Oryzias latipes: one gene and its partners. The protein of the gene in region 4 purifies or fractionates together with the protein of the main gene of each other region. This does not show direct contact. Links are inferred from orthologs where the notes say so. Each region holds a gene or a part of one and is shown on either strand. Other genes may lie near its edges. The genes, in order: slmap, stk26, strn and fgfr1op2.

Region 1 (7,716 bases), on a different chromosome or scaffold from region 4:
AGTCTTGATGTGACTGAAAAACAAAGAAGGTTCTGCTCATTTGTTAAGCTCTTTTGCTGATGGAGTCATAATGAGAGGCTTCTCCTGAACTGAGGATTCACCTCAGATTCTGGGTTTTAGGTTGATCTTTTTCTAAAATTAAAGGCGCTGATGTGATAAAAGTGTTTAAATGATCATTTAAATTTAAACGGGTTGGATCAAAGTGACAAAGCGTATAAAAGGCTTAAGAGAAATCCCTTAGTGGTGAATATTAAAGGATAAACGGAGGTAAACGTCTCTTCTTCATTCTTTCTTTATTCCGTTAAACTTCAGTGGTGTTTGTCTGCAGTTTATCTGTTGTCCAGTACAAAAAGAAAGTGTGTTTTAGACTATAATCTAACTTTCATGCACACATTCTGCATGAATGCGGATGCATTCTGCACACAGAACTTTCTAAGCTGTAAATAAAAATATTTACCATAATATTTGCTATAAGATACTTTTTTTTTCTTTCACATTTTGTTTTTTTTGCTTTCGAGACCTTTTTTTCCCCAATTTCTTTTATTTGCTTAAATTTTTTGTTCTTTTTGCTTTCATAAAATATGTTTGCATTTGCAACACACATGTTTTTGCATGCATGTTTTTTTTTTGCATGTTTTTGCATGCGTTGTGTCTCATCTCACCTTTTTCCTATCTTTGATTTTGCTCACATAAGTCCAGTTTAGTTTGACAAAGCTGCCATGAAGCAGCCTCAAAAAAAATCATAAAAAAATGGATCATAAGTAAATTGAAAAGTTTTTGAAGGCAAAAATAAAAATTCTGAGAGCAAAAAATTAAAAGCTAAAAAAAATGTTGAGAGCAAATATTGAATATTTTCATTTGCATCTTAGAGTTTTGTGTGCAGCGTGGTGCCACCTTCTTCCAGGAGGGTCTGTTCTGCCTTCAGGAGCGACTCCAGCGTCTTTCTGCTGTGTTTAGATTTGAGCCGCTCTTCTAATATCATTAACGGTCCTGAGTGAGATCATGCGGCGGCGGCGGCACGCTCCACCTACCATCCACTTACTGATGGTTGATGCTGCACAAACCTGTAGAGGAAAGCAGACTGATGTCATTCGGAACCGAGTCCAGCATGTTTGGTCGATGAACGAAGGTCGGCCGTGGTAGGGCGGTCAACCCATGATCGTAATATTGCAGGTTCGATTCCCGCCTTGCACGCCCATGTGTCGAAGTGTCCTTGGGCAAGACACTGAACCCCACCTTGCCTCTGGTGGGAGGTTGGCGCCAGTGTTCGGCAGCGGAGCCGCCATCAGTGTGTGAATGTGACTGTAAAGCGCTTTGGGCCTTTGAAAGAGGGTAGAAAGCGCTAAACAAGTATACGCCATTTACCATTTAATGAATCAAAAGTTTGATCATGAAGCGACGTTCACCCACTTCCCACGGCAACACGCCGTTTACTAACCGGTATTCACATACTTTCCTCTAAATGCGGAGATTATTACCAATCGTTTTTATCAAAGTCGCCTCATTTCAAGTGATGCAAAGAGTAATAACGTGTTGGTCTGTTTGTGTTTCTGGATCAGTTTGGTTACATTTAAAGCTTTTAGAAGTTGAACTGTTCAAATGATTGATTTCCTCTTTTGTGGCTGTTCTCCTAAATATTCGTTCCTGCTCTTTCTTTTTAAACACTCCTTTGATGCTCTGTGGTGTGTTTTTTTTTTTTTTTTTTTTTTTTTTGCAGGTTTCGGCCAACACTCCCAGCATGTACTCTCAGGAACTCTTCCAACTCTCCCAGTATCTACAGGTAAAGCACTGCCCCCTGCTGGCCAAGCTTGGGAACTACAACTGAAACGATAAATAGATGTTCTTTGATCAACTCCTTTCACTTTAAATCTTCCTTTCGAGTCAACTTTGTGTAATAAATCATCATTTTGGCAAAATATTATATTCACACGATAAAGCGGTTAGAAAAAGTCCTCATATTAGATTATTTTAAAGAAGCAGACTTAAAAACCTACTTTGTCTGGATTGAAAAATTCAAATTGAGTAACCAGAAATGATCAGAAACGGTTAGACTATTCACAGCAAACAAACTTTAGTTTAAATGCTTTGAACCAGAAATGTGTGTTCTACTGATAATACAGCAGATTTCTACACGCGGTTCAATCTTTATGATGTTCAAGTTGAAATATTGATTCAGAAACTCCAGAGGTTTGAACCCTCAGAGGAAATTCCTAAACTCTGACTCTCTTTAAAAAAACGCCGTGGATGATGAATGAATGCAGTTCCCGTGTCTGGTTTCTGCAGGAGGCCTTACACCGAGAGCAGATGCTGGAGCAGAAGTTAGCCACGCTGCAGCGTCTGTTAGCCAACACCCAGGAGGCCTCCGAGAGCAGCTGGCAGGTAGGAGACCTCGTCTTCTGTTGTCCTGAACATTTGTAGACCTGCGCTGAGGGGTTCACTGCAGATGTTAGCAGGAGATAACGGTGGCCATGGGGCTTATACTCATGGAGAAACTGAAGCTTTGGATAGAATTTGAAGATCTGAATTATGACTAACGTGACTCTGGTCTCCTTCAGGCTCTGATAGATGAGGACCGTCTGCTTTCCAGACTGGAGGTGATGGGGAGTCAGCTACAGGCCTACTCCAAGGTAAAGTCACCTTCTCAGGTTCTCCTCTGTAAAAAGGTGAGGCACAGAAGTTCTCATTCATGTCTGGAACTCCTGCAGTCCCAGACGGAGGAGGGGATGCGGAAAGAGCTTTTGGCTCTTCAGGAGGACAAACACAACTATGAGACGACGGCCAAGGAGTCTCTGAGGAGAGTCCTGCAGGAGAAGATCGAGGTGGTCAGGAAGCTCTCCGAAGTGGAGGTGGGACCCTTTGAGGAGTTGTTTGTCCCTTCAGGCTGATGGATTCAGTACCGGTGAACCCAACGCGTGATCTCCTCTGCAGCGCTCGCTCAGCAACACGGAAGATGAGTGCACCCACCTGAAGGAGATGTCTGAGAGGGGTCAGGAGGAGCTGAGGGAGCTCGCCAATAAGTACAACGCCGCTGTCAACGAAATAAAAGAGCTCACCGACAAAATCAAGGTGAGGCCTTGTGCGTTTACTCTGAAAGGTTCGATTCCCGCCCCTCTACATTTGTGCAGTAACACCCGATCGTCTTCTTTCCTTTAGGTGGCGGAGGGCCGGCAGGAGGAGCTGACCCAACGAGGAGAGACGGAGAAGAGGGAGCTGGAAATGAAGATAGAGGAGATGGAGGAGAAGGAGCAGGTTCTCCAGGCTCGCATCGAAGCTCTGCAGGCAGACAACGACTTCACCAACGAGAGACTTGCTGCTCTTCAGGGTACGTCTGGGTCACGTCTAAACGCCGTTTGCTCCCTGAAGCCTTCCACTGCTGCTTCATTGCATATAAACGGAGGACCGAGCCGACGCCTTTGTTCGGTTCCACCTCAGCTGTCGGTTCCTCGCAGAAGGCCGACTGGAGCTGCTGCAGGTCCAGCTGAACGTTCTCTTTCTGCTGTTGTTGTTGTTGTTGTTTACAGCGCGGTTAGAGCAGCTGCAGGAGAAAAGCGGTAAAGAAAACAACAGTCTGGGTGAGTCCACGTCCCGCTGGTCCGCTCTGGGACTGCTGTGTCTGTGGGGTTAATCAGCCTGAGCTGCACTAACGATGCATGAAACGTCCTGCATGGTCTGTCTGTGCACTTCCTGCTGTCGCTCTTTTCTCCTCGTTGAGTTTTTTTTATGATCTTTCAGTGGTTGACTCATTCACACAACATTGTATTGTTGTCCATAAACGCAAAAAGATTTTTTTCCATTTTAATTACCTAATTAACTTGTAGTTTAAGGCGGAAATGTCACACAATGTGAATCCAGCTGAGGGAAAGTTTATCTATTTCCTCCTGAATGACCTGCATCAGAAATACCTGCACTAGAGCTGCTGCTGACGGTGAAGCGACCCAACAGTTTCCACTCTATATTATCTAATTTAGATGTTTTATGTACTTAGTTTAATTCATTTAATCGTTGGTCTATTAGCGTTACACTTAAACCTCCTGTTGTGACAAACTGATGTTTGTTTCTGTCTCAATTACAAAGGCAGTAACTGAACCATTGTATTTTATAAAATGCTGACGTCACCTTAAATATGACAAACTGGAATAGATTCAAAGTGTAACAATTGTTTGTTTTTCCTTTCAAAATGGGTCAATTTACCCAAAGCATAAGAGATTTTATAGTTTTCTCTTTAACTTTGTTCTTCTGGCTCTGGGTGTTGTGACAGAAGTCTTAAAGCAATAAAGTCCATAAAAACATCAAAAATCCTTTAATTTTACATTTAAAAGAGTAAAAATGTCCTCTGTGCTCCAGAAAAACGGACGTAAACACAGAAAATGATCACTCCTGAGGTGGATTTCATTCCTTCATGAGTTCCTGCTTCGTGTTCCTGTCTGTTAGAATGACTGTGGGTTCTCTGTGGAACGCCCAGTCGCATCGCTATGCGCTATGCTAGGATGCTAGGATGCTAGCTGCAGGTCCTGGTTCTGACCTGGACCCGTCTGGTTTCATAAGGAGCTGGTGTGTTTTTCTGGGCTTTGTTCTGGCGGTTCTGTCAGGTGAATTTTGGGCTTCTTGGTTAATTCAGAGCTTTTCCAAACCGATCACTGCTTTGGTTCCTTTTTCCGGGGGGAGGAGCTTGAGGACACTGATTTCTGCACTAAAGGAGTCCTGAAGGTCTCGCTCTTCTTCATCAACGGGCTTCACAGTCTGTCTTCTGCATGTCTGGCTGATGAAGGTTCCATGTGTATATCTGATCTGGTCACATGACAGAGGTGGCCCTCGTCCCTCCCGGAGCTGCAGGGGAGCCCGTGGAAGACCTAGCGGACGAAGACCACGATGAGCCGGATACAGACACCGAGGAGGGGGCAGTTCACGAAGATGAAGATGTTATTGGTAGTCTATCTCAACTGTTTCCTTAATTTCTTCTTCCCAAAGACAGACGATCAAATGTTTGTTCGATGCAGAGCTGAAACCTCAGAACGCGTCTGGCCTGAGACCAGGTCTTCCTCGATCAGGACATGTGCAAGAACTGAAATGCTGGATCCAGATCCATCTGGGAGCCACTTTTCTGGTCCGTCTGAGGAGCACGTCTCCAGATAACTGGTCTGCAGCGCTGTGGCCTGCTTCACGCATCAGTGTCCCACGTTCTGAGCTGTCTCTGGTGAAATGAGACGTAAACGCAGCGTCTCGACTGGAAACTCTGTGTGTGTGTGGCTGAACCTGCTTTCAGCCGCCTCACACACTCGCGATGCGGTCTGCGCCGCTGCAGCCGCTGCAGTCTCCTCACATGCGTCCTGGAGGAGAGTTCACTGATGTTTCTTCAGGTTCAAACCAATGTTGGAAAGGGAGAGCGGGTTTGTAGATGTTTCTCTACACCATGAACCGACCTCTGACCCGAGAAGGTTTGGTGTCTTCTCTCCGCCGCTGTCGAGTCTCATCCGTCTGTTGTTGATCTTTAGATCAGCTTGAATGAAACCTCGTAATTGTCCTTCGTCCGATGCTGGTTTAAAACTTTGTGCTGCGGCATCTTTGAAGGTTTGGTCCAAAATCTTTACAAATGTGGATCGCTCGTTTTCTGAGCATCATCTGCTGCAGTTTGTTGTTCGGTCAGTTTCCATCTCAAGGTTTAGGAGAACACCAACGGCTCCTTCAGCTCCTGGGTTTTTCCATTTCAGCTTTCACATCAATCTAGTCCTGCTTTGGAATGAAGTCCATGTTGGGTCTCAGTTTCTTCTCGGGTTAGGAGCTTTACTCTCTCACAGTTGTCATTTCTAACCCGTTTTATTGTGCCGTCTGCAACATCATCTTCCCGTCAGCATCTTCCGTTCACTCATTGGGTGCAGCAGCTCTGAGATCTGGTGCAGTTTGAGTTTCCTTCGGCTCTGATGTTGTTCCGTCTCCATCTTGCTGCTGTTTCTCACCTGCTGATGCTTGGTGGGGTGTTGCATAGCAGCGTGTTTGACTCCATCCTTCACCTGTCCTGTTGTTCTGGTCTGTGACACGTCTGCCTGCTTCCTCTGTGTCCGTCTCAGGCCTTCCCTGCCGTCTTCTTACCGGACGTTAAGTTAGGAGCAAACGCAGCTTTTTGATTCTGCTGATCCAAATCAAGGAAACCTGGTTTGTCTGCTTGATTTATGGACGTCCAGCTTTAAGCTTCACCACATTGGAAGGAACCAGAGGAGGAAATAAGACTAAACGATAATAAACTGTTTGAGCTGAACTTTGTTCAAACTCAGGCTGGTGTCGATGAGCAGAATCAAAAACGTCAAAGGCAGAGTCGTAACGCCAGTTCTCTGTGTTTCTGTCAGACAACTGTCATGTCAACAACAGCGGAGGAGAATCCACTAGAATCCAACAGTTGATTGAGTGTCAGCGTGAGTACAACCTGCTGTTCCTGAATGCATCTCTGTCTGACGCCGTCTTTCGCCGGCGGTCAGAAGATGACCGTAACTGTGGGGGGGGAAAGGTCGAGTTTGTTCTTCAAAGATCTGACATCTTTTCCAGGATTCGCATTCTGTTTTTTTAATGGTCAGTTTCGAGCCTCAGTCATAGTCGGGCTGCAGCAAGGAGCGTGCACGTAAACGCACTAACGGCCTCCTCCAGCTGCTCCAGTCTGGATCCTGGGGGGTGAAGAAAATGAAAGCTGTGTCTAAGGCTTTAGTCGGATCCTTAGACTGACCAACCTGAGTTCTGCATGGAGCTGAGGCTCCGTCTGAACCGCCTCGTCATTCTTTCAGGGTCTGACCATAAAAAAAACCCATTCTGGTCTTTATTTCCCTCTTTTTTTCTTCTAAACTTGTCCTGTCCAACAGCTGAGGAAGCAGATCAGAGCTGAAGGCCTCGTGTGTTGGACAGATTTTACTGTTACATCAGGGGTTTATGGGTCTTCAGACAAATGGAGTATATTTGTATAAACCCCTTTTGTAATTGAGGCTAAGCTTTATTTATGATAATTATATTTATGTGTATTCCTTGTTGGACCAGACAGAGGAAAAAGGTAGAGAAGGAAATGGAGCAGGATTTTAGAGATGGGGGGGGACAAGGGGTTAGAATGGGGAAGAGGGGGGTGGGGTAGGTGCAGTCAATAATGCAAAGTCAAAACATTAGGGTCATAAGTAAATTGCATGACTTAGTTTTCTTTGTTTCCCTCCTTTGAGCTCCTTCTGAGGCTGAATCCGATTTTTCCTTCAGCTGATCTGAAACCAGGACTGTTTCTGGATCAGATGTCGATGATGGACACTCCAGAGCGTCTGGCCTTGACCTCTAACCTCTGACTTTATCAGACTCGCAGCGATGCATGTCTGCTGTGTGTTTTTCTGCTCTTTTCGGCAAATGTTGATCCATTACAGTAAAAACTGTTTTTTGAATCTTTACAAACTGTTGGACTTTTAATCCACCTTTTGCTGTTGTTCCTCTTGTTTCCCTGCAGCTGTCAGGCAGCTGAAGGACACGGTCAGTTCTTCAATCCACAAACTGGCCAACTTTGACGGTAAGAACGGAATCTGAAGATTTGACTGTGCTGGTGTCCCTGAGGAGAACTGAAACACCTGGATGTTTGTAGAAGTCATGGACGCCCACCTTCAGAACAACCAGACTGCAGGAGGCGACACACTGAGCAGCCCTGACCGACTCAAAGGTAGGGGGGGCGCTCACCGCCATCAGCTCCCCCTCAGAGGAGGACGG
Region 2 (7,754 bases), on a different chromosome or scaffold from region 4:
CCCATTATACATATTATGGGGGTCCTGACACCATGACTCTTGCTGCTTCATCACAGCGGTGGTAAAAAATCCCACACCGTCACAGCACTACTGTGACTACGCTAACCCCCTAACTTTGTTAGTAACACGCGGTCCAAAACTGCTACGGGTTGGCTGCGTCAGAAGCGTTAGCGTAGTCACAAGGCCTGTAACTCCTAACCTCATTTGCAACACGTAAGAAACAATACTTCTAAAATAAAGTTTGTTTCTCTGACTATGCTAGTTGTTCGTAACAGTCTAAGGCCGAAACAAACTGTGACCACGCTAACCCCAAACCTTGTATAAAAACACTTTTAAAAAAGCATAGCATAGAGTTAGCAGGTTCACAATATCTGTAACTCCTAACCTTGTTTGCAATGCATAAAAAACGATGGATACCGCTAAAACATAATTGTGACTACGCTATCTCCCAAACTTTTTAGTAAAGTTTAAAAACAAAAAATTCAATTCCGACAACCCGATATGTTCGCTAGGCTAGCATGCTAGCATGAGATGGTTCTGGTGCTGAGCTGCTGAAAGAGTCTTGGTGTGCTGAGCTGCCATCTCTTGATTGGGGGTGTAAGTGGAAAAGTCGGACACTGAACTACATTTTGGCGTATAAATAGCTAGTTAAAAATGTTTAAAATCCATACAGGTCTTGCCATTTTTAAAAATCTGATCCAATATAATCTGACTGACTGACAGACTCATGTCTGATCAACACACATTTAAAGTCGCATCGTCAGCGAATGGTCGGTTTTCAAACTGATGATGATGTTTTCTGCTCCTGTGTGTCTCTACAGGCAGACATTTGGTCTTTGGGCATCACGGCCATCGAGCTCGCCAAAGGGGAACCGCCAAACTCAGACATGCATCCCATGCGCGTCCTCTTCCACATCCCCAAGTCTCCTCCTCCCACGCTGAGCGGAGACTTCTCCAAGAGCTTCAAAGAGTTCACCGAGGCGTGCCTCAACAAAGACCCGGCCTTTGTACGCATCCAAGTTACTTTCAATCAAATAGATGATTTTTCCATCCTAAGGAGGTCAAATCGTGCTTTTGTCTTGATACAAATTTATATCTGTACGTCTTCTAAAGTCATATCCAGCTTTTTGTTGTGATAAAAAAGATTTTTAGGTGTTTTGAAGTTTTTAAAGTAACTATAAGAACAACTTAATCATTTATTATTAAAGAAAAAACAGAAATAGTTTTGTTTCATGTGGAGCTTTGGTACCAAATGGAACATTTTGAAACTTTATTTTTAGTTACTTTGCACTCCTGTAAACGTAAGGCCGCTCCATGAAAGTTTTGTTGTGTTTTGCTGCCACCTAGTGGAAGAAATTATTAAATCTCCTTAATTTGATCAATAAACCTGAGGCCAAACATTTAATCATTTTATATTTTTTTGCCTCTTACTTTGAAAAAATCTCATTTCCTCTTTTTTTTTTTTTTTTTAATTCCCCTCCTTTGGCTTCACTCTACGGTCCTGCAGCGGCCGACCGCCAAAGAGCTGCTGAAGCACAAGTTCATCACCAAGCACTGTAAAAAGACGTCTTACCTGAGCGAGCTGATCGACAGGTACAGGAGGTGGAAGGAGGAAGGTCACAGCGGCAGCAGCTCCGACGACTCAGACAGGTGACTTCAGGGCTTTCTTCTGCTGCTGCTGCATGTCGGTTCAGCGCCTACAACTGTTTGTTTGTGTGAGCAGTGAGTCCAGCAACAAAGAAAACGACATGCATCCTGAGTGGTCCTTCACCACCGTCCGGAAGAAGAAGACAGAAGGCAGGATGGTCCTCAACGGGACGGTTAGTCGCAGTATCTGGTTCCTCGGGAACCTTCATCCTGATCCTCCGATGGTTTTAGGGCATTCGGGTTGAAGCAGAAATGTTCTTTATCTTCAGACTCCAGAGCAGCTGAGTAAATCTGCCAGCCTGAGCACGGTCATCTCCCCGGTCTTCACTGAGGTGAGCGTCAAAATAAGAGTTTAGTTGAAAGACAAATGGTCTTTTAACCAAATTCAGTTCTAATTATTTAAAACACTTGATCACATTTTATTTTTTTTATTTAACTTTTACTTTTTCTCTAATTTTTTGATAGTGCAGTCCTGAAAAAATACTGTTTGAATATTTTGCTCTGAATAAATCATAATAATTTATAGTGGCTGGAATTATTATTTTTTTCAGTGCACTCACTTTCACTGTTCGACTTTTTTTCTTCTGTTCTTTAATTTTGTATTCTGTTATTATTAACACAAAATATGTTAAACAGACTTTAATCTGATGAATGTAATTCATAGTTGAGGCAAAATTTGAAAGAATAAATCGAGTTTGGCATTTTACCTTTCCTTTTTCTTTGTATTTAAACCTGCAACCAAAGGTAGAATATAAATACTTTATTTTCTTTTTATTGTTTTGAATTGAATTTTATCAGATCACATCAATAACTTGTTATTCAAAACAACACATTTACTGTCATCAATTTACAAAAATCAGATTACCATCAATTGGTAAAAAAACAAAAATGTAGTTTATTTTGGAAAACCCAACATGAATCTAAAGGCCCATCAGATGTAACCTTTTTTGGCCTTTAGCTAACTAGCCTTTAGCTAGCTAGCCTAGAGCTAGCTGTGCTTAGGCTAACTGGCATTAAACTAGCTGCTTTAGAGCTAGCTTGCCTTGAGATGGCTGGCCTTAACCCTTTTAACACAACAATTAACAACATTTTTTTCAACAATGTTACTCTTCAACCATTTACACAGGTAACGTAATTCCAACAGTTTGTGAAGTAGGAAAAATCAGCTCTACGCTGATGTGCAACACTTTACAGCAATACAGTGTTTACGCAATCAACGTAAACGTTGCTATTTCTTTAGCACAAAGCCGCTAGAGTTACGTTGAACGCGTCAACTGTCAAAGCGCTTGTTCTATTTAGGCATTGCCACTGATATCTTCTGGTGTTAAAGGGTTAAGCTAGCTAGCCTTAAGCTATCTGACCGTGCTATGTATCTGCTAGCTATAGTCTGAGGAATCGATTGACTTTTTTTTCTTATCCTCTTGTAGTTGAAGCAGCAACACAAGGAGCATTCGACGCAACGACTGGCCATCGAGCAGCTGGAGCACAACATTCAGCTGGCCGAAGACATCTGTCCGGGCATCACAGACAAGATGGTGACGCACATCATCGCCCGGTGCCAGAAGTATGACCATCGTCACTCAGTACTGAAAGACGCTGTTTGTTCTTCTTTTTAGCTCACAGACAAACAAATTCACAAGTTATTTGTGAGTTTTCTTGCCTGTTAAGAACATTTTTTTCATCTTTGGTCTCTAACTTTTAATGTGTGGTCCCGTCTCTTTAAGCCCCTCCCCCATCCACCAGCCATAGTTTCCTCTCATTGGTTGGAATTGTAGAGTACAACCCCCACTGTAGCTTTTTAAAATGGGATTTTTTGTTTTTTTTGTATCCGAACAGTCGTCAAAATTTTAGAAAATTTCCTTTTGACCGTTGTTTATTGGAAATGTGTCCTTTTTCTTCAGATTCACAACAAACTGAAGACCAGTTGAGAGGAAAAGAAATTAGGAAGAGACTGTCTTCATACCGTCGCCCCGCTGGAAAACAGAGGAGATTTGCTGTGCATTGAACCCTCTCAACACTCAGACTTAAATATTCAGCACACACTAAGAAAGTCATATGTACACTATTTCCTCCTCGCTGCTGGAGGAGGGAACCTTTCTGTTGAATCCAAATCAGTCCAAAAATAATGTTGTCTTAATAACATGACGTGCCTTAACTTCTCCATCTTCTGTTCATCCATTTTTGCGGAAAGGTTTCTTTCTGCTGCAGCAGCTGTAGCCTTTAGTTTGGTGTCATGACTCGCCCGGAGTCCGTCTGTCTGTTCAGCAGCACTTGAAATGCTTTCTATCTCATATTTGTGTCGTTTTTGTTTTTACTTTTTACTTCCAGGTCAGGATGGCCCTTGAAAGGCCAACACAGGGTTCGACTTTGACATGTGACAGAGGAGATTCCTCAGTGTTGGCTAAAGATTAGCGTAGCAGATAGCTAAAACAGGTGAGGAATTGGTGAACCTGTTTCAAAATGTTCCCAAAGTGAATCCAGACCAAACTTTGAGTCAGTTTTGACTCAACTAGCTTTACCAGACTAGGCTATGCATTACTTGGTTGCTAAACAACATGCTAGCTAGGAAACCTTTGCGTCGGTTAGCTTAACCAGTCTAGTCTATGCATTACTAGCTTGCTAACCAACAGGCTAGCGGGGAAACTCTTGATTCAGCTTTGAGTCGGCTAGCTTAACCAGACTAGTCCATGCGTTGCCCACTTGCGAACCAACATGTTCGCTAGAAACCCCTTTGAGCTTCTGCAGTAATTGGCAAAATTAGAAATGACTACGCAGACAACGTAAAGATGTTGATCAATTGTTCGGTTTTTCTTTTGGGTCTTTCAATCGAGTTTTCACAAAGTTTCCGACGTTTTCTGGGTGCATGTTCAAGTTTTTGTTTTTATCGTGATTTAATGGACCTGCAGACTACGGAAAGCCTTCAGGGTTTTATTTTTATTTTGGAATCCATTAACCGTGGGAACTTCTGCTGTTGGCTGTCAAATGTCCAAACGCCGAATTTCAACAAAACGCTTTGATTTGAAACTTCATACTGAATTGTAGCAAAAGCTGCTTTCAGGATGAAGTTGGGAGCTGTACGTCAACGCAGTGCTGACAGTTTGTACCAAAGACACTATAAGACTTGGTCAATGTATATTTTTGTTTTTTTAATGTGTTATAAGGGATACGAGAGCGGCTAGAAAAGGGGAGTTCGTGAAATGAAAGATGTACGATTTTACAGTAACATACTTTTTGTAGCGGGACTTAGAGTTTTATGAATAAATATTTATGTATGATTGTGAAACTTTTGGTGTTTGTTGTTTATTTACTTAAATAGGTTTTTTATAAACTAATATTTGATCAGTATTATTCTTACTGTTTTGGGCCAATGCAACAAGAAATCTCAACTTCACATTTTACTCTTTATTTCTATTTGAACATCTTTAACTAAAGCAAAACTTTTTACATTTTTATTTCTGATCATCATAGTATTTTTTTTTAACTTGTCTTTTTCTGTGTCGCTCTTGCTGGCACACAGAGAAGTTAGCTTAACTCCTCCTCGGCTGAGGCCTTTTCTAGCGCTTTTAATCTGGTCCTCTCTCCTTGCACAGATGTTAATTCTTTGTGACGTACTTTTAATAGTTACTGTCTTTCTATTTTAGATGAAGTCTGTCCCTTTAAAACCAGACTGGCCCCGTCGCTAAGGTTTCCCCTTGGATGAACGACGACGATCTTGCAGAAAAATGGAACGTGTGTGGAAAAGAACTCATTTACCTGTTCATTTACTTCATCTTCAGGATCTTTTAGTTTCTTTTAACAGTGCGGTTAGAGATGTGAGGGCTGCTTACTTCACTATTCTCATTTCTAAAAGCAGAGGTAATCTTAAAGTGCTATTCAACACTATTAGTGATGTCGTGATGCCCAATCTACCTGCTGTCCCCATCCATTCAAATGATGATTGTGATACGTTTTTATTATCTTTTATTGACAAAGTCAGATCTGTGAGAAGCTCTCTGTGTCACTCAGCTGGTTCTGGTCCTAGTCCACCTCGCCCTGTGATTTTAGACACGTTCTCACCCGTTTCTCTGCCTGAGCTAGTCAGATTAGTTGGCACAATGAATTCATCCTGTTGCTCTCTGGACGTGCTGCCAACATCTCTGCTCAAAGATGTCTTCCAGTCCATCGGTCCTTCTGTCCTGTCAATAATTAACTCGTCCTTGCTGTCTGGTCAAGTCCCTGAGCACTTTAAGAAAGCTGTCGTCCTTCGTCTCCTTAAAAAACCCGGGCTTGACTCCTCCCTCTTGAGCAGTTACAGACCTATTTCTAATCTCCCATTCATGTCCAAAATTTCAGAAAAGGTTGTTGCTAACCATCTTACAACTGCTTTCCACAGTCATGGCATTTTAGATCAGTTTCAGTCAGGTTTTTGCAGAGCTCTCTCCACTGAAACAGCCCTTCTCAAAGTCACTAATGACATCCTGACACAGAGTGATGCAGGAAAATGCTGTGCTACTGCTACTGGACTTGACCGCAGCCTTTGACGCTGTCGACCACTATGTCCTCCTGGACAGGCTAAAAAATTGGGTTGGGCTATCTGGTTCCTCATTAAAATTGTTCTCCTCTTTTCTGACTGGTAGATCTTTTTCTGTTGTTTTTTCAAAGTTTCAGTCCTCTTCTACATCCCTCACTTCTGGTGTCCCTCAAGGCTCAGTTTTGGGACCTTTATTGTTCATTTTATATCTATTGCCTTTGCAGCGCATTTTAAGTTCTTTTAACGATGTTTCTTATCATTTTTATGCTGATGATATTCAGCTCTGTGTCTTTTTAAACCGCAGGATGTTTTTAAAATACAGATTTTACGCAGATGTCTGGATTCAGCCAAAAGTTTGATGAATGATAATTTTCTCCAACTAAATGAAGCTAAAACAGAGGTCCTAGTCTGTGTTCCTGACAGTTGCCTCCTCCAGATAGTCCAGTGGTTCAGTCCACTTGCTTCCTTTATCAAGCCGTTTGTCAGGAACCTCTGGGTAACTCTAGACCAGGTTTTATCCCTTGACTCACTTGTACGTTTTTGTTTTTATCATCTTAAAAACATTGCAAAACTGAGTCCAATTGTGTCACGTTCTGAGTTGGAGCTGCTCATCCACGCTTTTATTTCATCTCGTCTTGATTATTGCTTCTCCATCTTCACATACTTGAGCAAAGAATCTTTAGAACGGCTCCAGGTTGTCCAGAACGCTGCTGCTAGGCTTTTAACTAAATCATCCAAGTTTTCACACGTCACCCCGTTGTTAATCCAGCTGCACTGGCTCCCTATCAGCCATCAAGTGCATTTTAAAATTCTGGTTTCAACATACACAGCTCTCAATAGCCAAGCACCGGTCCACCTTAACCCTTGTGCTGTCTTAGATGACCCCCCCTTACATTGACGTGTTCTCCCTACCATGACAAAGGTGGATAAAGGTGGAAAGATTTCATGTAATCCATGAAAAACCAGTGAAGATCACAAATCATTGAAGAAAAAAGGTTCAGAGGACTGTCTAGTGGGTCTAGATGACCCAACTCCCAATGGTAAAGTGCCTAGAATAGCACAAGGGTTACAAGACCTTTTGCAGCCGTACACTCCCAGCAGGTCCCTGAGGTCATGTGACCAGGGTCTGCTGGTTAGACTAAATGCATGCTATAAAAATAAAGTTTATTATTATTATTAGATTTCTACATTCTGTTACGTGAAATACTTCAGTAAGACTTGTGAAAAAAAAGCATCTTTGGTAAAACAAACACTGATCCCTTTTCTGGCAAAAATGCTTTATTTTTAACTGAAGCACGGTGGTGGAAAGGTCATGATTAGGTCATTCTTTATGGAGACAGAAGCCGGTGTGCCGGCTGGGTTTGGGTCTTTGTGAGGCGTTTTACCCAACAGATGCCTGAATGTTGTTTTCAGTCTGTCCAACTCCTGCAGGTCCTCAGCCGATGAAGTTTTTACGCTGAAAAGCCGGTCAGGCTTTGTTCAACAGAAAAGCAGAAAATTGATCAACATGTTTCTCAGATGTGGTTGACCCATTCTTTCTAATACTGACAGAATGAATGTAAGCAACCCATGGTGATGCGTTTATGCCCAAAGGGTT
Region 3 (7,716 bases), on a different chromosome or scaffold from region 4:
TGAACCAATCTGGAAACTTCTCAAGGTTTTCCAGTGATTCTGAGATGCGACCTTTCTTTCCAGGTACCTGCAGGAGGTGGGATACACAGACACCATTTTAGATGTAAAATCCCAAAGAGTTCGGGCTCTGCTGGGACTTGCCGGAGATGGAGGAGGCAGGATGGAAACTGAGCCTTTGGTGAACGGGACGGACACGACAACAAAGGGCATAGGCACCAAGGGGTGAGTACAGTCCATTTGAAGACCCACTCTGATGTAAATGGCGTTTTAACATGTTCTTGTTGCAAATTTCTGATGACGGAGGGCATAGTTAAAGAAAATTTAGCTTAAAATTGCGTTTCTAAATATTTCTTTAACCAAATTGTCGTGCAGCAGAAGCTGATCGTAGAAAATACACTGGGCGGGGCCACAAGCTTCCTGCTCCGCCCATTTCTGATCATCCACCTGCAGACTCATCTGAGCTGGAATCTGGATCTAAACTGTGAAAATGCGTCTACTTCTGCTAAAGCCTTTTACGGTCTCCAGATTTAAAAAACAATAATAGCCTCTTAAAATGTTTATATTAATGAAAAAGAAATGTTAAAGCTCGAATTCTGCAAAGGACTACAAATGTTTTCTTCTTCTTCTGTTTATTTTGTCAGGAGTTACAGCGCCACTTACTGACACTGGATTAACACGTTATTAACGGCTAAAGCGGCTGCAGCAGTCTTTTCTTCTACAAATAACAAACAAAAACCATCAAACAGAGAGAGACTCCACGCCATGCGGCGGTCATTGTATCACGCATCATTGCGATTTTCATCGTTTCCAATGACAACAATAAATGATTATACAGTGTTGCATTTAGGGGACGTTCTTTAATGTTTCAGAGGTGTAATTCAGTTTAAGGAAGCTCTCCGTTGTTTCCAATACCTGCAGTCACGTGTTTTTTATGCAACAGGATTCAACATTTTTCGTGAAAAGATGGTTAAAAATGTACAAACTTATCGTAGTTCAATCAAGACAGCTTTTCTTTTTTGTATTTTCTGCTGGTTGAAATGTTTTTAAAAAGTTTCTAATGGCCATTTGCTGAACCTCCCAGTGATATTTTTGTTCTTCAAATTGGGAATCCTCGTCAGAAAAAATAAAAACTAGCATCTATCTAAAGCTCGATATGGCGAGTCTATGATGGTGGTTTAAATGAAACGATCTGTGGCTCCTTTGCAGGAAATCTGAGCTGTCTGACCCCAGCGCCGTGCTGGAAGTCTTCAATTTTATTGAGAATGCAGAGGATTTGAGCGATGAAGATGAGGAAGAGGACAGCGAGGGAAAGGGAGTTACCAACGTAGAATCCAGGACGGTGAGGAAGCCACTTTCATCTTTGCATCACGCAGTGGGAGTGCTGTTAGAGAACAGGCTGTGTTGCCTCTAGATCATGAGGAAAAAGCCTCCTCCCTCATCGACCAACATGGACACCAGTGAGGACCCCGACACCAACGCCGTGCTGAAGGTCTTCGACTTCCTGTCCAGACCCGATGAGATTGACACTTCTGAGTCCAGAGGCACCGGCGATGGGACGGACTGGGGTGAGTCACAGACTGACCACGAACACAAACTGATAAATCCAAACCCCTTCAGCGAGAAAAGGATTCATTCCAACTCCGGCCGCTGATCTTTTAAATTTGGGAAGTTTTGACTCATAGTTTGTTGACTGCTGGTGAGGTTCCGTCATTCATGTGTCATTCTGTGCTCATAAGTCATGATGTGTCTGTTTAACACGCAGTTTGTGTTCTCTTCCACTGTATGTTCACAAGTCCAGCCTGTGACACCAACATGTTTCCACTCGTCTGTCGTCAGATCGCCCAGATCCCCTCTGAGCTTCGCTGGTCTTTAGCTGGAGTCAAAACAATCAGCTTGATGTCATGCTGGGTTTAATCTTTGACTTTAGCCACAAAAGACAATTTTATCTCAAAAGCTGAAGTCAGACATTCCCCACCATGACACAAACCTCTCTCAAATCCACCTCCTTCTTTCTGCCAGCAGAAAGAAAACACAGAGGAGGGTCAGGAGAGGCCCGTAGCTCCGCCCTCCTCGTTTATGAAATTGATTTGAATCTGAAAGTCTCAGAGCGTTTGCAGCTCTCTGTCTGCAAGGACCAGGGCAGTTTCTCAACAGCCTGTCGGTCTGGTTTTGTCCCCTTGTGTAGAGAAGAACGAGCAAGGCTCCATTTCTGAGGCCTGGGACGTGGCCCCGGGCCTGATAACCCAGCTCAAGGAACAGTACAAAAAGGATCGCAAGGGGAAAAAGGGGGTTAAGAGTAAGTCCTGCTAGGTATTGCTGCCTCCCTGCTTCTTCTCATTCTGCAGAGCCTAAAGCCTTAGTCACAACTGAACCTGCGGGTGGAGACGGGCTTCCTGCGGGCGAAAAATGGTCAAACCTGTACGGGTGGCACCCGTCAATACCTGCTGCAGTCTGGCCGTTAGACAGGAGGAAAATGGACAGAGTGTAGTTTGTGTGGACATCCCATGAACACTTCTGTATCACCCAGTGTGTGCAGCACTTATGCACAATTAGTAAGGAGACTGTACTGGCACCTTGAATGTGCCGTGACGACACTGTAGGACAGCATCACCTGTAGGTTGTAAGTGTGTGTAACTTACATTATTGCCACACATACACACGACAATGGTACGTCCCGTTTTAATGATGCCCCTTGAGGTCCTTGTACGAGCCTCAAGGAAGCTGCAAGATAAAGAAAATTCTACAAAAACTTTGCATTTCTGAGTATTTCTTTAATCAAATCGTTGTGGAAAAAAAAAGCTGTTTGGAAAAGATTTTTGACGGAAAATTTGCTCGCCGGGCCACAAGCTCCCTGCTCTGCTCCATTCTCAGGCGAAGGGTCTATAGATGCATTCGTTTGGGTTGCTCCACGCCAACTTTCCCGCCCACAACTCTGAAACTCTGTCCTAAATATCGACACGGGTTTCTTTTCTTTTTTCATTTTGGCTAAAAACGGTAAAATCCTGATCAAAAGAGCACTGGGAACACTCTGAAACCCGAAAGCCGAAAGCCTCACAGCACCCGTACAGGTCAAGCCCCCCAGTGTGACTAAGGCTTTACTTTCCTGAGAAACCAGCCTCAAATCCAAATTGGAGCATCTTCACTGTTTTCTCTGAGTTTCTTCTGTCGCCGCTCCTCGTTCTGCTTCTCTGTCCTCTTCACATCTCATTCTTCAGACCTCTCCGGTGCCTTCAAAACCTGCATCTGTGCTCAGGATTTCTTTTGCCCTTTGGTTGACCCTGGTGCATGCCTCATTTCAGTCTTTCATCGCCTTATTCTCATCTTCACGTCATCGTGCTAACCGTGAAAGATCAGACCGCCGTGCCACAGTAGCTCTGTGATTGCCGCCGTGGTCCTCATCGGTCGGCTCGGCTCGCGTGGAGAAGTCGTGTAGCCGCTGATGTTCTGCCGCTCGATAGCAAAATCAGAGCTTTTCCTGTGACCCGCATGGATGACTCATTCAGCAGCCCACAGATTTCACATTTCTGACACCCAGTCTCCGCTCTCCTTCTGCAGCGACTGCTCGTGACATCAACACTCACTTTCTCACCTTCCTTCTACGCTGTTTACACAGCCCCCCCCCCCCAAGAGTGTGTGGTTTTTTTTTTTGTGGGTGTTCGGACGACACCATGTAGAGTTTCTGTTCCTGCGATTTTTGTCTGTTGCAGCTCCTCATAATCCATTTCTGCGCCGTGTTCATACCAGCCGTTAACTGCTGTTATTTATTGCTAAAACTGTTGTTAGATTTAAAAAAAAAATAAGCTGGAATTTACAGTTTTGTGTTGCCAATTGCACCTTTGTTTGTTGAGCATCACAAGGAAACTTTCCTAGGTCTCTGCTGGTTGCTTAGCAACAGCTCTGAGCCGGAGGAAAGTGTGTCAAAAGGACAGACTGAGCGGATCGTAGTTTTTGTCTCACGCACTTCTGAAAGGATGGCAGTTAAAACGTACAGATTCAGGTTTAGACTACAGTGATTCTCCACACCAGCGGCTTTAAAGGCAAATGTACCTTTTGAGTAGGTTTCACTGCTTTTCTTCAAACTTTATCTATTTTTCTTTCTTCCCAGTCCTTCCATCTTTTCATCTTTTTTTCTCTCAGCTTGTTTGCACTCTTTTTCTCTCGTCTCCGTTCTCCATCAGTATGTGTTGGTTCTGTTAACCGGTGTAACCCCACCTGTGAACAGGACCCAACCGATCCAAGCTGCAGGACATGCTGGCCAACCTGAGGGACGGCGAGGACATGCCTCACATGCAGCCTCCGTCCGCCCCGCAGCCCCGACCCAGCGTGCCCCGCTTTAACGAACACGAGGGAAACCGGCCGGATGAAGGTGCCTCAGAAAGACCGCCGCCCCCTTTCTGTTTGAACTTTGGTTATAATCAGGTTTCCTCTCCGCAGTGGAGACCCTTGCTTTCCCGCCCACCTCAGGGACGTTTATTATGGGCGCAGACGAAGCTATGAAGAGCGACCTGGGACTCGGGGAGCTGGCCAGCATCACCGTGGCCAACGAGGTCGAGAGTCTGGCATACGATGTGAGTGAACTGTTCCGGTTTTTCCGGCCCGAATCGTTCACAAGTCTGCGTTTAGCGGGTCAACCAGACAACGGAAAATAGCATCTCTTCAGCCATTTTACCCCTATGAAAGTAACAGTCCACCTGGACCTTTTCTTCTTTATTCATCACATAATATTTTAAATTGTTTTTCAAAATAATTTCATCCCTGACACTATTAGATAAATTGTTACAGATCTAAAATGTTCTAGATCTGTAACCTGAGGCTCTGGAGCCACAAGCAGCTCCTTTATTACTCTATCCTGGCAATATAAAAAATTATAGTTTTAGTTTGTTTGTTTTTGCTAACTTTGTTTTATCATTTATGTACACATTTATGACATCACTGAGAGAAGTGATGGTAAAAAGTTCAGTCTGCTGTCAGAGTGGTTTAAGATTCAACATGTTCTTTTCTTCTGCTGCACAACAGAGTCTAGAGAAGTTCTTAAAGATTCTCTAAAAAATAAATTAAAAAAAGCTGTATTCTACACTGATCTCATCACATTTATATTTGATAGTAAGAGGAGAAAAAGGATGACAGTGATTCGCCAAACTCTCTTGCCTTTGTTTAAACCAAAACTGCTGCAGCAAAAGGATCCTATTTGGCACACAGGATGTGTTTTATTTTGAAAGGATGGTGTATATGCCGGTGTCAAAATAAAAAAGGGAATGAATAAATAAAGTTAAAATAAGTTAAAATTCTCAAATTTGAATGGTGTAAAATAACTCTAAACCCCCCCCAAATGAACTGATTTCATAGATGAAGTGATCCGAAGGTTTTGAGTTGAGGCCCTGATAAAACACTGAGTAGTTAGGAATATGTTTATTTCTGTTTATTTGATTCTATTAAAGGCATTTTGATAAGAATGACGGTATCAGACTGTGGAACAAGTGAACAAAACCATGAAGCTCAGAGACGCTAGTCTGTCTGGCGTTTGGCGGCTGTTTGCACTACATCTCCCATGATGCATTGAGTTAAAGTGACAGTGTCTCAGCGCACAATGAGCCTTTCTTTGTTAAACGTCTTGAAACCACAACGAACACATATAAAACTGTTTTTAAATCTTCTAAATTAACTTTTATTACATCTTTTAGAAAAAACAGCTGCAGCTTCCAGCTTTTTCTGCCACAATTGTCACAAAAATGCATGTGAGATCATGGAGGGGCTGTAAATCAATACAGACTGAGTTTTTCCTTTTTTTTTTCTTTTTTCTTTTTTTTTTTGGATGCCGCTAGGTTTTTGTCAAGGATAAAGTGTGCCGTGGCTCAAAAAAGGTTGAAACACTGGTCTAGATGAACCCGCACAAGTAGTTTTGTTTGTGTAATTGATTTTATTTTTGTTCTGCAGCTTCATGAAGTGCAAATATAAAATACATTAACAGCGGTTAAACTCTCATTTTCTGTTGGTGACGGTGTCAGAGTCCTCTTGCTTTTCGTTTTTGTTTTTTTAGTTATAAACATTTGAAAACACAGAGTGGAAGGAAAAATCTGTTTGTTGTCTGACCTGGATGCTGAGCGTCTCCGCTTTGTTTCTCAGATTGGCAACAATAAGGACGCGATGAGGAAGACGTGGAACCCCAAGTTCACCCTGCGGAGTCATTTCGACGGGATCCGGGCGCTGACGTTCCACCCCGTGGAACCCGTCCTCGTCACGGCTTCGGAGGACCACACGCTCAAGATGTGGAACCTGCAGAAGACGGCTCCCGCCAAGAAGTAATGTGTTCCTGCTTGAACGACTGAAAGGAGCATCTCTGCTTTCGTTTGCCGAGCTTTGGTTTAAAAATCTGTGTTTTCCACCTTCGTGCGTGGAAAGCTCTGCCCACGTGAGTGCTGCTGTTTTCTGTCATAGTAATGAATGCTCTGTCTGCAGGAGCACATCTCTGGACGTGGAACCCGTCTACACCTTCAGGGCACACAGGTAAAAAGCTCATTTTAGTATCCAAGTTCTGAATGTAACAAAGAAAAAACAGCAAACAACAGATTAACTACATTTGAGATCATCTAAGTCATTCCAGACCCCCCCCCCCCCCCCCCCCCCCAAAAGGTCAACTATCTAAGCTGTATTTAGATTATAGAATCAATTAACTGTACAAAGTGTGAACGTGGAAAACGGCGGTTTGAGAAACAAAAAGACTAGAACATCTGCTGTAAGATGAGCAGGAACTGCAGCCAAACAGGGCGGAGCTGCGGTTACAAAAAATGAGGATTGTCATCATCACGTTTAAAAAAAAAAAAGGTATCAGAGCCAGAATGACTGAGGAACAGGTGTTTGTTTCCCTATAGACGTCGTTGGCTACTTGGATCCAGCGGGTACTTCCTGTTTGGAATGTCAGGGGGGGCGGAGCCACTCAGTCCGGTTCTCTTATACAGTGAATGGTCATTGTGCAGACGCATTGAGAGAGCTAGCAGCTGGTTGTTGCTCAGCTTGGGCCTGTGGCGTGTTGATGATGGGGTCACTGGGTGGAGTCCAAACCGACGGGAAGGAGAATCTGATCGTTCTCCTCCTGAAATGTATGATATTTTTCTTATTTGTATGGAGACAAAAGGCCTGGGCTGCTTTGAAAAAACAACAAAAAAACAATAACTCGGTCTGAATTGATCCAAGCTTAGAAGCAGATCAACAATCGATCCATAAAAGAAGAGATCGATCTTTTATGCCTTTCTTTCTCCAGTGACCTAACAGCATAACAGGAGTAAAGCCAAAGTAAGCTAGCTTGATGCTAACGTATAATGGAAATTCCCATAGGACGGCTAATGCTAACGCTTGTTTGACCTAAACACACATTGCTGACTAAACAGCTTTATAAACTCACAGGCAGGAATTTAAGGACACTTTTTTTCTTTCAAAGTAACCATTTTTGGTCTAAAGAACATTTTTTGGCTCAATCTTCTAGAATCAAGTGGAATTCTGCAGCATGAGCTCCACCTAGTGGCCAAACTGAGACGCCCTCTGGGAAAGACAATAATCTGTTATTAATTTTTGTTAGAGCTTCTCCTTATAACACCGTATGCTGTTAACGATCTCTCTGGTTTATATGTTCACTAAAAATATCCACAGTATGTGAACTGTGTCAGATTAATATGGATTTCTTCAAAACACTTCTAGATTGTTGTTGTATTTCCCGACACA
Region 4 (8,385 bases):
GTAAAGGTCAGCCAAATGAGCATGTCCCCACCAACCAAGGGCTACGTTCACACTGCAGGGTTTAATGCTCAATTACGATTTTTTGAAAAAATCTGTTTTTTTTGCAAGGCCGTTCACATTTCCAATTAAATGCGAACTTTTGTGATCTCCTGTGTGAACATGAAATGACCCAGAAGTGACCCGCATGCGCAGAAGAGTTCTCAACGGTGAACGACGACACGCGTCGTTTGCAGAAGTAGTTAACGCTAACAATGGATGTCAACAACAGTGTTGTCAACAGAGGAGCTCTTTTGGCAGTATTAAATTTATTTTCACAAAGGAGCCAGCACAATTACAATCTTATCATTTTAAGAAGGCACTGTGTGTGTAATAAGAGAGAGGAGAGAGCGCGTAGAGCGCCGGAGGGAGTGTGTGTGTGTGGGGGGGGGGATGGGGGGGGGGGGGGCAGCGGAAGTGTGTCGGGTGCGTGCATTCATGTTGTGTGTTACAGAGGAAGGAGAACGATAATAAAAGAAGGCTTCCCCCAGAATAAATGCTATAATTGACTCTTTATTAACCCGCTCTGGAGAATCTGAGGGTCCGAACGGGGAAGTTAATTCCGGAGGAGGATCTTCCTTCAGCCCTGGAGAAGATCCCCCCCCCCTGCTTCCGACCACAGTCGGAAAGAAAAAAAAGTCAGGTGGGAAAGGTTCAACACCACGCTCGGCCATTTTGCTGGAAATATTTTCAAAAACTGCCCGGTTGCGATAAGAGCCCTGGAGTTTGGCCTGAATGGAGCTGTCACCCCAAATATGAATCCAATCGGTGACCTCGCTTCCCTTCCACTGACTGGTCTCAGCAGCATCGTCCGCCATGGTTGATGTTTATCTTCTGGTTCCGCCTACTTCAACGCAGAATTATGACGTTTGAGAACGTATCAATGAGGTACGGGTCGGATTCATGTGGCCTGGCCGTTCAGACGGAGGTCGCATTTGAAAAGATCGGATACGTATTGGATTCAGGACCACATACCCAAGTGGCCTGGTTCACATTTGAAAAGATGGGATCTGTGTCGTTCAGACTGTCATGAAAAGATCAGATACAGGTCGCATGGGGGAAGAAAATCAGAATTGGGTCGTTTCAGCCTGCAGTATGAACGAAGCCAAAGTTACCTTTTCAGCTAATGCAAAACTGATAAAAACAGCCACTAACTACATGCTTTTTCTGCTAACATAAACATATGCCTATTTAGTTTCACTTAAATAAAAGAAGTATGACAAAAATAAATGAATCTTTATGAAATTTCACCGTTTATTCCTGTCCCTCAGTTTTGTTCAACCCGTAACAGCCTATCAATCCCCCTTTAAAAAAAAATAATAGTTCAGTCCAACTTCTTCAGCAGCCAGGAAGTGACATCACTGAATATTTTCCTGCTCATACTCTGAAGACAGGTAAGTATTAGCCTCCTTTCTTACCCATATTTCATAGTTTCTGTTGTCAGATTGACTTTGTCAAGCTCAACCTTTCAACTCTGTTAAATTAATAAATGATATTTACTATTGTTTGGGAAAAAGCTAACGATTGCTTTGAAATATGTATTAAATTCTTGTTTTCCTCATGCCATATGTAGCTTCATATCCTAGCTAATGTAGACACGTGACAACTTCAACCTCGTAATATTCTACTCCGTAACAAAACACACTGTCACAGTGACAAACTTTCTAACAATTTGGGGGATTTCATGTCTAAAGTGGGAAAACATCTTTTCTCAGAGGTTTAAATAGTCCTTAATCTGATGTAATGTTAAGAAACACACATTTTTTAGGTAAGATTTTCAATTACCAATGTGCACCGAATTCAGAGAATGACCCGTCTAGCCCCTGATATCAATCATGTCCCAATATCCAACGGCATCGAAGGCCCACCCCAACGTAAAATGAGGCTGTACTCCGAAAGTGAAAATTCAGAATTGAAACTGTAAACCGAGGACTGAAGGTGAAGAGCAGGCGGCGACCCAGTGGGTCTTTAGAGACAGTCGGCGTCAGACTAACCTTCAGTGGGGTTGGCCGGCTGGTCCTTGTTGATAGCGGTCTGGATGTTGCTGAAGGACGCAGGGGGAGCAAATTGTTGCAAAACACCGATGGCGTTACAAAACTGATCTGCAAGCTGCCCACGCAAAAGCAGAACACACAGTTCAGACCGAGCTGAAGCCGACCTGCACCACACATCCCGAATAGATTCATTTTATGTTTGAAACACAGACAGAAAGGTCAAAACAATCAAGCTTGGATTATAACAAAGCACAGCAGGAAATTCTACTCATTGGAAATGAATGGATATTATATTAAACATTTCATTTTAAAAACATTTTTGGTATAATTGTCTTCCATTATTCTTTATCTGGCTGTATGCAAATATTTCAAGCATTTTCAGCAAGATTTTGGTTTTATTTAAGACGGTTAAAATCTTTCATAGAGAAAAGAGAATTATGAAGTAGTACACTTCTTGTAAGTTAGAATATTTTTAGGTTTTTGCTCCTTCTTCATGTAATCATATGTATTATGCCCTTCAGGCATTTATTTCGAAATGTCATGAAGATTAAGTGTAGGGGTTGGAGTGCCTGAAGTTCAATATTGTCATATGTTATATACATATGTATATCTTTAGTCCATATGCTAGTAAGAAATGTCATCCGGCTGACCTAAACAATAACAGAACGGTTGGCCTGTACCACCACACATCATGATTCCTATAATATTCCAGCTAAATGAGCAAACAAGCTGCTTAGTGCTTTCAGGAGTTTCCTGATAGAGCTACACTAAAGGATGGCTAGCATGCTAAGAACAAATGGGACTCTAACTTTGTTTGACAGCATATTTTGACCGGCAGGATTAGGATAAGTCTCAAAACGAACAATTTATAGGGTAACTTCCTGGTTTGGGTACCTTTTTAAATAATTTCCACTTCCTTTCATGCGTCTTCAACTTTAATTCCAATCTACTTCAGCATTTTGGCAAACAGCTTCAGCAAACACCAAGTAAGTAATGCTATTTATTAAGTTAGCATTAGCATTGTTAGCTGCTGTGATGTTACGCCCTCAGTAAATAAATTAGGAAACAACTTCCATTAAAACCTATATATAATGCACATTTCATATTTAAATGTATATGTGACAGTCTTTCTATATCACAATTTTTGTCAAATATTTAACATTTTTATTTTACCGAGTTGACAGCATCTTGTAGTTGCGTTAGCCGGTCCGCCATATTTACCTGTATTTGACAAAAGTCCGTCGTCAACTATCGCGAGAGCATTGACAAAATCTCGCAGAAATTGACGTCATTTCGGAAGACAAGATAGCTAAAGAAAGTTAGCCCGTCAACAACCTTAAACCTGTTATTTTAGACTTGAATACCATAGAGACTTTTGCGAAATTCATTTTTTGTACTTTAGTATATTTTTTTATGTCTTAAAGAAACAAAGTTTAAGTTTAACGTATAATCCGATATTCGTGTTAGCATAAGCATGATGTTGCTATTCTGAGCTACAACATAAAATATCAGGAAGAAGATCTATTTTCTGGTTGCACTTTGAACTCTTCAGGTAAGACCACTTCAGTGTTAAATTAAGACACCTTTACATGCTTTGGTACACTGTTTATGAGGTACGTTTGTATGTTTTGTTGGAAAATTTGTCAGGATTTAGAGAGCAGCTTCGTTAGTTGTAACTACTTTACTACTACGTAAGCAAAGACATAATTAGCTGTTTGTTTCTGCTTGCTTAATTTTTTTGTCATAAGAAAGTATATTTCATGATCATAAATCTCCTGCAGTTCGACATCCTCTTTTTTCCCCTTTTAAACTGTGACACATTCGTTAACATCCTGCTTTAGTGGGTGAGCAGGAGGGTCATACCCGGTAAAGTTACATTGTTTGGTGGTGGCAGTGTGATGGTATGGGGCAGCATCTCCTGCTCGTTATTACTGGAGGAAATCTTGATGTAGAAGTTATACATCGAATTCTGCTAAAATAAATATTTAGTGTGTTTTTAAACCTGAATTACCCAAACACGACATTGGCAAAATTAGATGCTTAGCAGCGAATGTTCAACCAGTCATGATGGGTGCATTTCATAAACGGAGCTACGTATTCCCTTAAACTCTAAACAAAGATTTAAGATAAGTATTGTAACTAAAAAGTAATCTGCTTAAAACCAATTTCCCTGCTTTTTGTACTGTTTACATCACTTTCTATCATTTAACTTTCCATCTTAAATCTGTAAGACGCTGAGTATCTTAACGCTAATGTGTAAGTAAATGAAAAATGCAGGGATCTACTACTCTTTACTTCCAGATGTTCATTACTCACCACAGTAATTAGGTTTTTATCTCACTAAAACTGAACAAACAGAAAGCAAAAGAGTAAAACAGTTTTATGAAGGAAATTGCCCAATTTGTTATATTACTTACAGACTTGAACTCGATGTTTTTTTTCTTCTTAAGTTTTCACATTTCTTTAAAACCAGATTGATATTTTCTAAAAAATGTCCTGCTCATCGATTTTACTTTAATGTTTTCCCCTTTAGACATGAACTGTACGTTAGAGAAAGTCCTGGCAGATGCTAAGTCCTTGGTAGAAAGGCTCCGTAACCATGACAACGTAGCCGAGATGTTAATCGAACAGACAACATCTCTCAACAAGAGGGTAGAAGCCATGAAACAGGTAAGATTCTGCTTGGATTTTGATGTTTTATTTTATTTTATTTTAAATATTTTCCTCATGAGCCGACTGACGTCCTGCCCAGGATGAACCGTGCCTCCGTCCAACAGCTGCAGGGATAGGCTCCAGCAACCCTGAGACCCCAAAAGGGATACAAGAAAATGGATGAATAGATTGATTTTCCTCCTGAAAGCAAAGTTAACTGTACTAAAGCTTTTTGACCACTGGGGGGCAGCATCCTTTTTAGAAAAGTGTGATGTAAATTTTCTCTTTTTTGTTTTATTTCTGCTGTGAGAAACTAGAGAGCTTAGTGCCTGATCAAATCATGAGTTAGATTGAAGGAAACATTTATTTTAAAGTCAATATATTAAACTAATATTGAAACAGAAAAACAAAAAAGTATTTCTTTCTCTGTTAAACCAGATGTGAAGTATCATTCTGTGTTTGCAGTACCAGGAGGAGATTGATGGACTAAACCAGGTCGCACGACATCGGCCTCGTTCCAGTCTGGTGTTAGGAATCCAGCAGGAGAACCGTCAGATCCGAGAGCTGCAGCAGGAAAACAAAGGTGGCTGTTTGTCCGTTGGTTTGTCGGGAAGTGTCTGTGGCTCAGAACCTTTTATTTGTTCTTCCACTTTACCTTGATAAAGCACCAAACCAGTGAGTGTTTGTCATGCAGAGCTACGAACATCTTTAGAGGAGCATCAGTCTGCGTTGGAACTCATCATGACCAAATACAGGGAGCAGGTTTTTAGGCTCCTCATGGCCAGCAAGAGGGACGACCCCACCATCGTCACCCAGCTGAAGGAGCAGCACACAACGGTGAGAGGAAGGAGCGCCCTGCTCCTTTGATGAAGCAGGTCAAAGGTTATCAGCAATATGCCCAAAAAAACAAAATCTCCCATTTTTTGGCACCAAATTTGATTCCTTATTTGAACCCAAAAGGACATAAATCCAACAAAAACCGTTTCATTTTAACGTCTCCTTAGGAAGATGGCCTAAATTTAGAAGGGCAACTAAATCCAAGCTGTGAAAATGTTTGTAGATCAGTGCGGCAGGTGTTTTGCCGTTAGCCTGAAGAGAAACATCTTCTCGCACTCGACAGCTTCAGGCGTTGAATGTTGTTAGCAACAGCCTTCAAACTGGTTTTGCACACATGGGGTTTGATGCCTGAAGTCCCAAAACTAAACCAGTTTCATAGACCTGAAGAAACGGTTTCTGTTTTGGGAACAAGCTAGTTAACATTTTAACGAGAAACGGGGGCAAAAGCTGAACTTTACCCCGGACAGCGGAAGCCAAAGTGAGCAGGATGCTGAGAAAATTCAGAATCCAGGTTTATTCCCCCCAAAAAAATCTTTTTAAACCCCAAATTTAAGGTAATACGTTTATTGCCCAGCCCTGATGTCGTGTGTTTGTTTGGATCAAATATTCGAGCTTTTTGAGTTTTCCTCATTTCTTCTCTGTGTTTGTAGGAAATGCAGGCACACATAGACAAGATCAACGAGATGGCCTCTGTGATGCGGAAGGCGATAGAGGTGGACGAGGAGCGCGTTTGTGAGGACGAAGAGAGGATTAAACAATTAGAGGTAACCTGAAGGCTTGTATATAAATGCATTTATTCGTTACCTTGACAGCAGGTTGGGTTAGGTAGTAACAGGTTATTTTTATCCATTTGGACTTTTATAAAGTGAGTTCTTTACTTTTTCTGAGTGGTTTCTTACTCAGGAACATTGGGCTACTTTTGTCAATGAGTTTGGAAATCTGGTGAGTGGACTCATGGGTAAATTCACCTACCTTTGTTGTGTCCAACTCCCTCACTACCACATAGTGCATTTGCTATATTTTTCTACAGTTCCAATATCCAGTGCCTTGAAATTTCCCAGAAGTCTCTGTAAAAAAATCTAGTGTACTGATGCGTACTAGTTTGGAGAATTCAGACCACAATGCATTGCATTTGAATTATTTGTCATTTGAAAAAAAAAAAATTTTGAATTTCTTTTAATAAATCCTTCAAGCTCATCTTCAGAACACAGTGGATTCATGAATAGTTCTCATCAAATGTTCACATTTATTAGGTTTTTATGGCGGCAAACGGGTTACCGTTTAAAAAATGCTGGTCAATATGGCCGCCGGACTTTCAATGTCACTTCAGCAGTTCCGAATCCAAAGGGTGGCGTCAGAGTTTATCCGTCCCGTCTTCATATGTCTCTAATAGCAAAGCCTAAAGAAGTTTATATGTGTCCAAAACATTTGCATTAAGTCTTTAGAAACTGCATTGAAGCAACCTTTGAACACAGAAAAAGGGTTTTAGTGTTTTTTCCAGCATGTTGCAGAGGGATGCTGCCAACAGGAGACAGCAGAAGTCCAAACCAACAACATTTCTGGTTCTGGTTCTGGTTCTGGGTTTGTGTCGGTGGATGAAATCTGCTCTCTGTAACTGGAAACCGTAGCTGGTGTTTCCCCTTAAAGCCTGAGCAATTGAATAATGTAGAGAATTAAGAGGAGAATATCTACTATTATTTTTTTAATATTCTTAATCTTTGTTTAGCTAGGATGTTCTCATTTACATGAAAATCTTTTTAGCAAAGAAGTTCTGGTCAAGTCTGTTTAAATCATTAGCACAATGGAAACATGATAAAAAAATAGTGCTGTCATACAATTTAATTATTTTGTGGAATTAATCAATTCTGACCTGTAGTTCAAAAATCCTCATTTTGAGGTATTTTCATTGAAAGTTGTGACATTGTGGCGCAGTAAGACATCAAAATCCAACCCAAAAACTGGCTTTCTGAACTTTTCTTCTATAGTAACTGACATTTTCTGTTGTTTTTTTTTTTAATAACCTTTCCTCTACAGCAGCTGAGCAAAGCAAACGATTTCAGACTTTCAGTTCTTACTTTAACACCACTGAGGGGGATTCTGGAGGGCTCTCATCAAAAACATAAATAAAAACAGTAGGAAGACTTTCCTGAGCAATCCCAAAAATAATGAACACAAACCTTTTAGATATACCACCATACATGTGTTGATAGACCTTATTCAGCAGTTTATCCCAACACATAGACAGTAGAAAATACATGAGCAGGGCTCCAGACTAACTTTTTTCACTAGGAGCACAGTGGCCCCAACTGAAAATTTTAGGGGCAAAACCAGAAAATTTAGGGGCGCATACCGTAAATCAACATGCTAACCAATTCTACTAATTTCCACTGTATTACTAATAAATACTTTAATAATAGATGCAGAGATTACAATGTGCTGTTTCTAATTCAGTGTCACATTTTAATCTGCACTTTTGAAGATGCAACAAGAAGGTAAACTGACAAAAGCATCGCTGTCATGACAGTACAAATACTAAACAAAACAGATGGAAATTTATCTTGGTGACACCAAATAAGTGCAGCCAAGATGCGCAATAAGCGTGTTTGAGATCACCCAGGTGGACAAAACGCTGCACAGATCACCTGGTGGGAGACAGATATTTTTGTTTTTGCTCCAACATCAACTGTCAATCATCAAAAAAATATCACGAGAAAGGGGTGGGAGCAAGGGGCAAACCTACCCGGACACAGCTGGAAATTTAGCACTGCACTGACTGAAAGCTGCCCTACAGACTACAAAACAATGCATTATGGGACATGTGTCCTGATGGTTTTTGTAGTTCAGTGATCAATTAAAATAATTTAAA

What was found.
Region 1: the proteins of fgfr1op2 (region 4) and slmap purify together in Homo sapiens (affinity purification with mass spectrometry; 3 studies listed by BioGRID and IntAct, with this or other methods). This does not show direct contact. The link is inferred for Oryzias latipes from reciprocal best matches to the Homo sapiens genes FGFR1OP2 and SLMAP.
Region 2: the proteins of fgfr1op2 (region 4) and stk26 purify together in Homo sapiens (affinity purification with mass spectrometry; 4 studies listed by BioGRID and IntAct, with this or other methods). This does not show direct contact. The link is inferred for Oryzias latipes from reciprocal best matches to the Homo sapiens genes FGFR1OP2 and STK26.
Region 3: the proteins of fgfr1op2 (region 4) and strn purify together in Homo sapiens (affinity purification with mass spectrometry; 4 studies listed by BioGRID and IntAct, with this or other methods). This does not show direct contact. The link is inferred for Oryzias latipes from reciprocal best matches to the Homo sapiens genes FGFR1OP2 and STRN.

The regions. Positions count from the first base shown.
Region 1 is NC_019863.2:32,507,239-32,514,954, reverse strand, and holds part of slmap (sarcolemmal membrane-associated protein), read left to right. Parts: intron 1-1,717; coding exon 1,718-1,780; intron 1,781-2,283; coding exon 2,284-2,379; intron 2,380-2,555; coding exon 2,556-2,627; intron 2,628-2,705; coding exon 2,706-2,846; intron 2,847-2,928; coding exon 2,929-3,066; intron 3,067-3,153; coding exon 3,154-3,322; intron 3,323-3,521; coding exon 3,522-3,572; intron 3,573-4,803; coding exon 4,804-4,926; intron 4,927-6,341; coding exon 6,342-6,407; intron 6,408-7,462; coding exon 7,463-7,522; intron 7,523-7,594; coding exon 7,595-7,669; intron 7,670-7,716. UniProt on the Homo sapiens protein: Associates with the striatin-interacting phosphatase and kinase (STRIPAK) core complex, forming the extended (SIKE1:SLMAP)STRIPAK complex.
Region 2 is NC_019876.2:4,685,087-4,692,840, reverse strand, and holds the end of stk26 (serine/threonine-protein kinase 26), read left to right. Parts: intron 1-821; coding exon 822-1,007; intron 1,008-1,507; coding exon 1,508-1,650; intron 1,651-1,723; coding exon 1,724-1,820; intron 1,821-1,916; coding exon 1,917-1,979; intron 1,980-3,074; coding exon 3,075-3,211; intron 3,212-3,548; coding exon 3,549-3,564; 3' UTR 3,565-4,930; downstream 4,931-7,754. UniProt on the Homo sapiens protein: Serine/threonine-protein kinase that acts as a mediator of cell growth. Modulates apoptosis. In association with STK24 negatively regulates Golgi reorientation in polarized cell migration upon RHO activation.
Region 3 is NC_019873.2:28,013,726-28,021,441, reverse strand, and holds part of strn (striatin), read left to right. Parts: intron 1-63; coding exon 64-222; intron 223-1,206; coding exon 1,207-1,339; intron 1,340-1,411; coding exon 1,412-1,565; intron 1,566-2,185; coding exon 2,186-2,296; intron 2,297-4,222; coding exon 4,223-4,366; intron 4,367-4,434; coding exon 4,435-4,568; intron 4,569-6,123; coding exon 6,124-6,299; intron 6,300-6,456; coding exon 6,457-6,504; intron 6,505-7,716. UniProt on the Homo sapiens protein: Calmodulin-binding scaffolding protein which is the center of the striatin-interacting phosphatase and kinase (STRIPAK) complexes.
Region 4 is NC_019881.2:3,908,483-3,916,867, forward strand, and holds the start of fgfr1op2 (FGFR1 oncogene partner 2), read left to right. Parts: upstream 1-3,292; 5' UTR 3,293-3,582; intron 3,583-4,563; 5' UTR 4,564-4,565; coding exon 4,566-4,700; intron 4,701-5,147; coding exon 5,148-5,265; intron 5,266-5,376; coding exon 5,377-5,519; intron 5,520-6,169; coding exon 6,170-6,283; intron 6,284-8,385. Other genes in the region: med21 (mediator of RNA polymerase II transcription subunit 21), read right to left, coding at 2,031-2,145, 3,204-3,245. UniProt on the Homo sapiens protein: May be involved in wound healing pathway.